Linked DNA regions of Drosophila melanogaster. The protein of the gene in region 1 interacts with the protein of each later gene in a biochemical or structural test. Each region holds a gene or a part of one and is shown on either strand. Other genes may lie near its edges.

Region 1 (3,760 bases):
GACTATGACGACGGCATGGACTGCGAGTGGACCATCGCGGCGCCGGACAACAGCTACGTCCAGCTCATATTCCTCACCTTCGACATCGAGAGCAGCGAGAACTGCACCTTTGACTACGTGCAGGTGTTCTCTGACATAGACGATGTGTACGGACAGTATGGACCCATGTACGGACAGTACTGTGGCAATGTGGTGGGTACACCTATTTCGTTTATCCGGAGAACATTTAAGCTAAGCATTATTTACTGCAGCTGCCGCAGGACATCAACTCTATGACACATTCTCTGCTGGTTCGCTTTAAGACCGACGGTTCGGTGCCGATGAAGGGCTTCTCTGCCTCATATGTGGCCGTGCCCAATTCCGGGGAGTATGACCACTCCGACGAGGATGTGGAGAACTCGTACAGCTCCGAGATGGTTACCCCGTTTCCGGGCTCACTGAAGAGCATCTACATCGAGGACACGCAGGAGGAGACCGACGAGTACAGCGACTTCAGCGGCAATCAACTGGTCTTCAATGGGCAGTATCGTGGCCGATATAGTCTGCCCAAACGGTACTACTCCGGAAAGGCATAGGGCTATGGTGGAACCACTGACCGTGCGCCAAAATACATGACAATATATTAAAACGGAATTTATTTAACAGATTTAGGCATATCGTCGCGTACATAAAACAGACTTTCCCGATCTTCCACGCGCACTCTTCTGGCCAAATCCAGGATATAATCAAAGATCCAATACTAGTTTTAGGCACTCGAAACACACATTGTTAGGTTCCAGTCGGCTAAGATCTGCGGTGGCAATTACTTAGACCCCTATGTCATACATGTAATGTACTTTGACTAGACTTCTCTAGACTCTGTAGCTAAATGTGCAATTCCTCTTCCCCCCTTGCATTTGACTGCTTTTTTCTCTGACGCATTTTCATTTTTTTCGGATATCTATATTCTATATTGTGCCATATTTAATGGTAATGATGGAGTGCATTTCCTTAGGCATCTTAGCATAAGTCAATGGGTGGCCCATATCAAAATCAGAACGGAAGTTAGGATAGAAAAGAGATACACACATATCTTCGGAAGCACCGAAAGTGGAGGATCCTTACAGATGGATTGAATTTTTCACACAGGCATATGTACAACTCTCGGATATTTGACTCAACTTAATACGTAATTATATCTATACATATTAAAACTTGCATAGTAACTATGTTTTAAAACCAAAACAAAACGAGTTTGAAGAATGTTATTTACGGACTTTCGGGTTTATGGGCTCATGGATTTATGGCCCTAGGTTCCACCTTGCCACGCCAGGCAGAAGCGCCATGGCTCTTGAATAGCATTTGAAGGTGGAATTACCGCGAAACGATTCGTTCATGCGGCGGATTTACGATCATTAATGACCTGCCCTAAAAGGCACGAACCCGCTTAAGCAACACCTGATCCTGGGCAAATGCCCCTGAGCCCGGCCAGCGACCCAGGTAGATGGCCACATACGCGTACACGTATAGATGGACAATGTCAAGGTGTGAGCAGGAATACCCAAATCAAAATCCATTGAATGCAAACAACAGGCGGCAGACAATGGTCATCCCGAATCGCCAATGAGGAGGGGTAGCACTCAGGTCTGGTTATGGCTCTCGTCTCTCCTTCTATTGAGCCGTCCCTTCGAGCGGTCAGTCGAGATTCTGCAACGGCCTGCCCTGCCACGCCCCTCGTCCACCGATTCCCCTACGAGTTGGGATCTGTTACCTGCTGCTCACTCACTCGATCCGTGGAACCCTTGTCGGCGCACCAGTATAATTCGGCAATCGCAGTCCACGAGCACTCAGTTAGAACTTTGAACTGGTTGAAGCAACTTCAGGGAACGAGCCCCCAGAAATACCCACGCAATGAAAGGAATGCGCCTTATGCCCATGAAAATGAAAGCGAAATTAGTTGTTCTCTCTGTGGGAGCTCTCTGGATGATGATGTTTTTTCTGGTGGATTACGCCGAGGGCAGGCGACTGAGTCAGCTGCCCGAGAGTGAGTGCGATTTTGATTTCAAGGAGCAGCCAGAGGACTTCTTTGGCATTCTGGATTCTTCACTGGTGAGTGGTGGAGTCACGTGGCCCGACCTAAAATTACAATCTTCAGCATTACCCAACAACAGGTGCCGCCGAAGGAGCCAAAGGATGATATCTATCAACTCAAGACAACCAGACAACATTCGGGGTAAGTTCCACTGGGATTTATACCGCACACAATGGTGCGCAATTAGCCCACACACTTGCCTTGGCCACTGGAGTGCTTGCCTTTGGGCACGTAAGTAATACCTGAGCTCATAAGCCCTCCCTGCCCATCTCAACCACCCACACAGGAGACGCCGGAAGCAGTCGCATAAATCGCAGAACAAAGCCGCTCTGAGATTACCCCCACCATTTCTGTGGACCGATGACGCTGTTGATGTCCTGCAGCATAGTCACTCACCCACTTTAAATGGGCAACCAATCCAGAGAAGGCGAAGAGCTGTGACCGTGAGGAAGGAGCGAACTTGGGACTATGGGGTCATACCCTACGAGATCGATACCATCTTCAGTGGAGCCCACAAGGCGCTCTTCAAGCAGGCCATGCGCCACTGGGAGAACTTCACCTGCATCAAGTTTGTGGAGCGGGATCCCAATTTGCATGCAAACTATATATACTTTACAGTCAAGAATTGCGGGTAAGTCTAATATTCGTTCTATGGAGAATTTATAATTTATATCCCATCGAATAGTTGCTGTTCGTTTCTGGGTAAGAATGGGAATGGACGCCAGCCCATCTCCATTGGACGTAATTGCGAAAAGTTTGGCATTATTATCCATGAACTGGGTCACACAATCGGGTTTCACCATGAACACGCCCGTGGTGACAGAGATAAACACATCGTGATTAACAAGGGGAACATCATGAGGGGTCAGGAGTACAACTTTGATGTACTCTCGCCGGAGGAGGTGGACTTGCCTCTACTGCCCTACGATCTTAACTCCATTATGCACTATGCGAAGAACTCGTTCTCGAAGAGTCCCTACCTGGATACCATCACACCGATAGGGATTCCACCCGGAACCCATTTGGAGTTGGGTCAGCGGAAGCGTCTTAGTCGCGGCGACATTGTTCAAGCCAATTTGCTTTATAAGTGCGCCTCCTGTGGACGAACATATCAGCAGAATTCTGGACATATAGTGAGTCCACACTTTATATACTCCGGCAATGGAGTACTCAGCGAATTCGAGGGCAGTGGTGATGCTGGGGAAGATCCGTCCGCGGAATCTGAGTTCGATGCCTCGCTGACCAACTGCGAGTGGCGGATCACGGCCACCAATGGGGAAAAGGTCATCCTGCATCTGCAGCAGCTGCATCTGATGAGCTCCGACGATTGTACTCAGGATTACCTGGAGATTAGGGATGGTTACTGGCACAAATCGCCACTGGTGAGACGAATCTGCGGAAATGTCAGCGGAGAGGTCATCACCACCCAGACAAGTCGCATGCTTCTCAACTATGTCAACAGGAATGCAGCCAAAGGTTACCGTGGATTCAAGGCGAGATTCGAGGGTAAGTTTTAAACTTTTCAAAGAAAAACACAAACTAATTTTTCCATTCCAGTGGTATGTGGTGGGGACTTAAAGCTGACCAAAGATCAGTCCATAGACTCTCCCAACTATCCTATGGACTACATGCCGGACAAAGAGTGCGTGTGGCGGATCACGGCTCCGGATAACCACCAGGTGGCCCTGA
Region 2 (3,760 bases), on another chromosome or scaffold:
AATCTTAAAAGCATTAAATGAAATATAAGATTTCCGGGAAATTTGTGTGCGATTCGATTGAGTAATTTTCCGGAGGTTCCATCGTACGAAAGTTCACCATAGTTTGCGGCACTCAGAAAGCACCTAGATGATATTCCATTATTTATAAGCTGACTAACCCCCCATACAAACTGCCACCCTAGCAACAGAGATTCCGTGTAGCTCTTTCTCCCTTCGCCAGTCCACCCGTCCCACTCGCACTCGCACTATGTCTTTCTGTTTCTGTGCGAGAGCAGGCCAAAAATATCGCGTATACGTCATGTGTGCCGTGTGTGTGTCATGTGTGTGCGAATGTTTTGTTTGCCAGACAAAACAGCAGCACGTAAAGTGGCAGTAAAACCGCAGTTAGCCAACTGGCCAACATCGTTAAATTTTGGTCGTCTTCTTCTTGTTGTCGCGATCATCGAACGATCAAACAAACTCAAACGATCCGGCGATCGATTGTTTGATCAATTGATGGACGGAATGGGATTCGTGAGACAAGCTAAAGTTTGAACTAAGTGATGGAAGTTTTAGTTTAGCTTAATGATCGAAATAAAACACCATACAATCTTACTAACAGATTGTTGCTTAGCCATTTCAATGGTTGGTTATCATATCAGCGGCATGATAATGATGGATTTTCCGAGCGCAGTTAAACTCTTCATCACTGTCGCTAGATACTGCGAGTATCTGTCGACTTTCAAGCGATCGAGAGTACCTACACATACCTGGGCTGCGTCATCGAGTACGGTAATCTAGGTATTTACCCCCCGCCCCATTTCCTCTGTCACGCCCTCGATTTGAATCATGCTGCAAGTCGGCAACAATTGCCATTCGATTGGAATTGTAAATGGTTCGTTGTCGGTCGGTGTTGCTTTTTCTTTCTGTTGCCGGTTGCTATTGAAACGCTCTGGAAATTTCATCATTCGCCCGACCGCCCGATCGCCCGATCGCCCGATCGATCGATCGATCTATCTATCTATATATCTATGTATATATCTGTCTATCTATCCCAGCTATCCACCGATCTGCCCCCTTTGCCGTTCTGCAACTGGTCCGCATCGAATGTTCGATGTTCGATTGATTTTTCCCATTCTTTGTGATTACGTTTTTTCTTGTCTTGGTTTTTTTTTTTTTTTTTTTTTTAGGTCGCCCTTTTGGCGTCAGATTCGATCTAAACACAGTAATAATAAAAGAAATCATGCCCCATTCCTGGGTAATTGTCTCGTTTTTGGGGCGTGTGTCGCCTCGATCTCGACGATATTGGGTCGGAATCGGAATCGGAATGGAATTAGAATTGAAATTGGTCGATGACATTCCATTTCAATGCGATCATTAAAACCGAAAGTGACGGACTTATAATCCAGAGGGGCAAGAGCTTTCAGGTTGCAGGTACAGTGCGTTTCAGGATTGTATTGTTTGTTGAGACACTCTTATCATTACCTTCATCTGTTCTAGAGCTAGCATTTCGTTGCCAAGTCGCTGTGTGTTATTTAGTTATTGAAAGGGCAATAGAAGAATTCGGTTAAATAGTTATTGCTTCTCAAAACGGCCAGACTTAACATGCCGAAACGCAGTGTAGCAGTGCAATCACTATGAGTACTATTTAACGATTCACCCACGCCCATATGTGTGTGTCGATTAATGGCGATTTAAGCTGCAATTTCCACAACTAATAATCATGAGTGTAAAGTATAATTTCCGTTTCGGGCTTTCGGGCACTTTTCACGTTCCTCAATGGCAATTTAAGAGGTTCATTAAAAACCAATAACTACGACTGTAATTGCACCATTCCACAGACGCGCGCACATACATACGTTTCACAAGAAAAAAAAAATAGGGGCAACAATGAACAATGAAATAGAATATCGAGATATGGAAATATATGTTCTATATGTTCGTTTCGTTTATATGTATATGCGGACATATACATATGATTTATATGCAATACGTCGCCAAAAACGCGCGCGCAATTTTCGAAATGACTCCTGCGGGCTGGCAATCGTTATCGTTTGGATTGGTCATCGATTTCGGTGCGCGTTTCTCTAGCGTCGTTCGTTCGGTCGTCGCGATCTTTGACAAACTGAAGTTTTCAGCATATAATCATATAGACCTAGATCTAGACATAGCGGTTCGCTCTCTCACTCGATCTCCCTCTCTCTCTCTCTCTCTCTCTGGTGCCATCACTCTCCGCTCCCAATGTCGCCACCCACTCTCGCCGGCATCGCTCACCTTACCATCTCCCCCTTTCGCAAAATAGACATAGACAGCTCCAAGCGGACTCTCCTCTCCCTTCCTCTCCTTTCCTCTTCTTTCCTCTCCACGGCGGCGACAAATCGCTGTGTAGCCATGTGTATGTGTATGTGTAGCCACAGAAAGCCATTTCCAAGAGCATTACGTTAGGATCTAAGATATTACGACTTTCAGATACATTTGGTTCCGAGGGATATCTTTAGAACGCTTTTTTGGTAGCTTTATTAGAAACTAAAGGTGATTTATCATAATATCTCATCATATTCATTTTATTTGCAAACCCTTTTCAACTTTTCAGGATAAAAAAGTAATGAATAATGAATACTTTTGAGTTTTCTAATAATTAGGAACTTATTTTCACTTATAAGCTTTAAAAAACAGTTTAAAATAGTTTTATTACATAAGTAAAAAAAAATATATATTTTAAAGAAATCGCTTAATGCGTATATTTACAAAAGCTTCGTTCATGACCAATTACATTACTTCATTGTTTTTTTTTTCCCAGTGCAGCTTGGCATTTTAAAGGCTTTCGCTGTCTTCCCATGGAAGCCAAAAGCTTCTTGGCAGCCCAATCGTGCCCGGGATTGGCGGCTAGTGAGGCGTTTGGCCTCGCCCACTCGACTCGAGTACAGTGAAAACTAACCTAGGACAGCCCACAATGCCGTGGATGTGGCCAGGCGGAAGGAGCTGTATCCATTACGTTTCATGACGCTTGACGGCTAGAGATCAACACAAATATGCCGAATATTTTTGCGCCTTCGGTGCAGCGAACAAAACAACATTTGCTGACGTCACGACGGCGATGATCCATCAAAAAAAAAAAGTGCGGCGGGGCGAGGCAAACAACAACTAACTAACTGTTGGCCAAGTTATTTATTTTTGTTACTGCATTTTTGCCAACAAAGTGCTGTGGTGCTGGACGTCTAAAAATAGTCGTCACTAGCATAGCAAAGTTGTGTAGAACATTTTCACTGGCTCGATAATGTGTGTAACTATGAATACACACACTATCACAACGGTATCCAACCTTATGGACATGCCCAGTACCTCTACCATCTCTATACCCATAGTCGAGTGCTAACAATCTGGTTTCCCTTTCAATTCATATTCTGTCACGATCGAACGTCAAAGTCTCAGTCCCGACTTTTTGAATTTCTGTTTTTCTGAGTTTCTGAATTTCCAACTTACATATATATTTCGAAGCGATCGAGACTGCAACGTGATGGAAATTGGCGAGAAGCTCGAAAATGGCTGCGATTTCGATGGAAATTGGGCAATGCTCCGTTGGCACAAAAGTGCATTGAATAGAAATAAATATATTATAAATATTCATAATATATATAAAATGTGTCATAAGCTACTAATTGATTGTACTGAATATATTCAAAATCGCACTTCAAGCTTTCGAGACAAACTGGCATACTCTGTAAAAATATTATTATTATAATTTTGACATTGCTGATATAATTCTCCTCAGCTTGCTAAG
Region 3 (3,760 bases), on another chromosome or scaffold:
TTCTCCAACCGCAGCATGAGTTGGCCAGCATGATTTTTGATCAAACCGTTGATGAATGCTGAAAAGGACTTGTATTTATAAATATACTTGATATATTTTAAAATAAGAAAAAATAAAAATAATAATTATTATTTATTTTTGGAGACAGCGGCTGGTGATCTTGTCATCCAATCAACTTGGCTCTTGTTGGCCTTATTTTACAATTTTTTTAAAAATCAAATCGCGAAATACAAGCTGTTAGATAATCCCCTGCTGTATTCGATTAAGTCGGATTCCCAAGGTAATACCTTAAACAGCTGTGCAGAGAAAAAAGAAGAGCGCACCCCTTTAAACCCTATTAAAGCATTAGCACGGAAGTCAATGATTCCCCTTCGCGAGTCAATACAAAAAAAAAAAAAAAAAAAAATTGAATAGCTTACGCCACTGACGATCTCTAACTTCAAAAATATTAAAATTATTGGCAAAATTTGGACAATATAATATTTCGGTTTTAAATTGATAGACTTTTGACGATCATATCATATAGCTAACTGTTGAAAAAAATTATAGACTCGTTGTTTTCAAATAAAAAGAGTTCTTCTTCAGTATGCACATTTTTTTGAAAATATATAATTTAGGTTTTTAATCGATCAAAATCAGACGACCATACACTTATATACCTGCCATAGGGAAAAATGGCTCTATGGCTATAAAGCTTAGGAAAAAACACTGACAATTGTAAAACCATTTTTCGTCACAAATCGGCACGGTGAGGCTGCGATCGTCACTTGATTTGTGTGCTCGTGAATATTCTAAAACTCGGAATAACGGAATAATAACCTTCAAAAACTTGTTTCAGGCTACGAAAAAACTTACTTTGAATATAGTAGAAGTATAAAATCCTGCAGCACCGGATATAATGATTTTTAAAAATTAAAAATCATATCTGCATTGTTTGATCCGCCTTGGAAGCGCGATGCGCCAGCAGAAAATGACCACCCTAATGTGCACACAGTCGTAAAAGTTAGTTCAAGCTACATATGTACATGCACATATGCAAAGCCCGTTCATAAACGTTTCACATGAGTCCTCTTTATGACCACTATTGTATTCAATTAAAACCATTTATAAACATAATAAATTATTGTGCTCTTGAACTTCAGTTCATCGCTGAAAGTGCATTATTCCCCTTTTACAAGCAGAACAACGTAAATGAGATATATCATATGTATGTACATACGTAAATTATACATACATACAGAATAAATAGCATGCATATAAGCACATATGTACATTTTTAAAGCTGTGTATGTACAAAGTTATGTACATTTAGCGATAACAAACTTTTTAAACACCTACCAATTGTACATAAGTAGATATATACTTATCTATCGGTATTTATTTTATTTTTATACACTTGTACAACCAAAATCTATTTTGAAACTAGGCAATTGTGTGTTTTAATATATGTATAGTATATATTATTAAATGTTTTATATTGAAGTAACAGTGGGCCTACGGTTTCGAACATTATTCTTTTGCAATCCGCTTTTGTTAAATTTATTATTCATTGTCCAAAAACACATAGTTTGAAAAAATTGTGTATTCAATTGCGCACTAAATAATAATAATTTATTTCTCATAGAGAACCAATATTTGAAAACCCGCAGAGATTCTGTACTGCTGTGCGATTGAGCGACGAAGTAGAACTGAAAGCAGCTGATCAGATGCGATCGGATACATACGGCTCACCGGCAATTTCGTTTTAGTTGGCATAACAGGCCGCTTTTAAAAATGTATCTGCTGAAACGCATTGCAAGAGTAAACTTTAATTCATATTAACATTTTTATCGAGCAAAATAGCATTATATTAAAATGAAATATTTATTGAATATACTCCTACTTTTTTTTTTACAATTCTAGAAAACATTTTATTTATATTTCCACTGTCGCTAATAATCACTTTCTATTGTAAATCAATTTAATCCTTAAGCCGTTTTAACTCTTATAAGTTATGAGTGTAGACATTTTTACATTTCAAAGATTTCAAATAGACCCGAAGAAACTATATAAGATATATTTTTATTAGCAGGATTTGATTTGTCTCTATAATTTTGGTTCCCTAGTTGTTTTTTTTTATTACACAAAATTGAGTGCTATTATACAACAAAAATTACATGCGTATTAATTTGTACTACTGGAATGACTATATTGATACAAAGGAATTTTTAAAATTTAACCGAAGTTCCGCATTCTTGTCCTAACATTTCGTGTTTTAAATTAACGGCAAAAATGTCGTTACTCTGGAATTAATAAAAAGTACCCAACGCACTTACATAAGTATGCAAAAATAATTTTATGTGTATAAAAGAAACTTATATTAAATCAAGTACATATTCGTGCGGGTCCCCTTTGTTCCGCAGTCTTCTTATATAATTATTGCCCATTAATATGGTTGTGTAAGAAGGCAATCTGGGAACTCCATAAAAAGGGTAGGGACAATTACCGCGATGTCTAGTGTTTTCCAGATTAGCTGTCGATATATCGACGCCCGTACAGATGTTTAAGCCTTTCCACACATACATTTATGAGTTTCCTATCGATATGGAAGAAAACGATAGGTGTTCACACTGTACTAACTTATTTTTATTGCTTTGTATCAGCAATTCTGTTGTTTTACTTAAGAATAGCAATTCAAATGGAGAAGACTTCTTTTATGTATCAACAAAGTAACTGATAAGAGATTATTTATTGGATGGATTGTAAGCTACTTATTTTTTCCATTGTGGTTAACAATTTACGATTTTTTTTTGGTTATAATAAAGATTTAAATAAAATAATTTCAACAAGTGCGTCAATTTTCCTTCATCTACGCACATATAGATGGTAATCGTGCGATAAACCTAATATTACGAAAATGGCGATCACGCATTCAACCGATAAATACAGAACTAAAATACTTCCTGATCAAAAACAAGAATTTATAATTTTTTTTCTATTATTTCCACTACGTTGCAATTTTCTGACAGAAATCACTATACGCTCTGCAATGGTTTAACAATAGGAAACGCTTTAGTTGGCTTTCAAATATTTTTCACAACATTTTCAACGAGTAGATTAGTTGAACTATTAATAGCTCATTAATGGACCGATTCTTTAGGTCTGCTAAATTATCATTCTTATATCTGTGAATTTATTTATTTACTGCATCGAATTTTTGAAAATAACGTATTCTCTACGCAATCACTGGTATTGGGTTGCCATATCGATTTCTATATATGTTAAGAGTTGCCGTTTGTATTTTTACACGCCGAGAGTTGCCATCCTGATACGAGCAGATGCGTGCTGAAGTCCAATCGATACTACAAAATACCAAAATACACAGAAAATATAAACAATATTGCATAAACAATATTGTACGAACGTTCGTTTTAGTGTTTAATCACATACTGTTTTTCCCCCATCCGAAAATCGAAGAAAATGTGTGACAATCAATATCTAATAAAAGAATCAGGATACATGTGCGACCATTCGTAATATAAATATGTATGTATATTTTGTAAATATTATTCCCTACTAACTAAACCCATCTGTGTGAATTTTTCCCAAAAGCCCTCTTATTATTGCAGGTAGTACATATATTAGTCGAAATAATTATGATCCGAAAGTTTTTTAATAAGGCTTTTGACCGTAATTAATTTCGAATTGGTTTAACCAAAAAGTGACGACGGTCATTTAAAAGGTCAGAAATTTAATTTAAAATATTAGAAGAGAAACTCTA

The links.
Region 2: of the proteins of tld (region 1) and sog, one has a biochemical effect on the other in vitro, tested with the Drosophila melanogaster proteins (5 studies listed by BioGRID).
Region 3: of the proteins of tld (region 1) and myo, one has a biochemical effect on the other in vitro, tested with the Drosophila melanogaster proteins (one study listed by BioGRID).

The regions. Positions count from the first base shown.
Region 1 is NT_033777.3:24,747,906-24,751,665, forward strand, and holds the start of tld (tolloid), read left to right. Parts: upstream 1-1,825; 5' UTR 1,826-1,890; coding exon 1,891-2,088; intron 2,089-2,150; coding exon 2,151-2,212; intron 2,213-2,357; coding exon 2,358-2,702; intron 2,703-2,756; coding exon 2,757-3,577; intron 3,578-3,628; coding exon 3,629-3,760. Other genes in the region: tok (tolkin), read left to right, coding at 1-192, 252-575. UniProt on the Drosophila melanogaster protein: Metalloprotease which cleaves TGF-beta family ligands daw, Actbeta and myo in vitro. Cleavage of daw enhances its signaling activity. Cleaves dorsal-ventral patterning protein sog. Processes sog more efficiently than metalloprotease tld which also cleaves sog.
Region 2 is NC_004354.4:15,631,345-15,635,104, forward strand, and holds the start of sog (short gastrulation), read right to left. Parts: upstream 2,091-3,760; 5' UTR 1,465-2,090; intron 1-1,464. UniProt on the Drosophila melanogaster protein: Putative negative growth factor. Antagonist of dpp, a protein involved in patterning the dorsal region and in the development of the neuroectoderm; dpp inhibition is enhanced by tsg.
Region 3 is NC_004353.4:694,359-698,118, forward strand, and holds the start of myo (myoglianin), read right to left. Parts: upstream 1,698-3,760; 5' UTR 1,339-1,697; exon of another isoform or gene 980-1,338; 5' UTR 856-979; intron 59-855; 5' UTR 32-58; coding exon 1-31.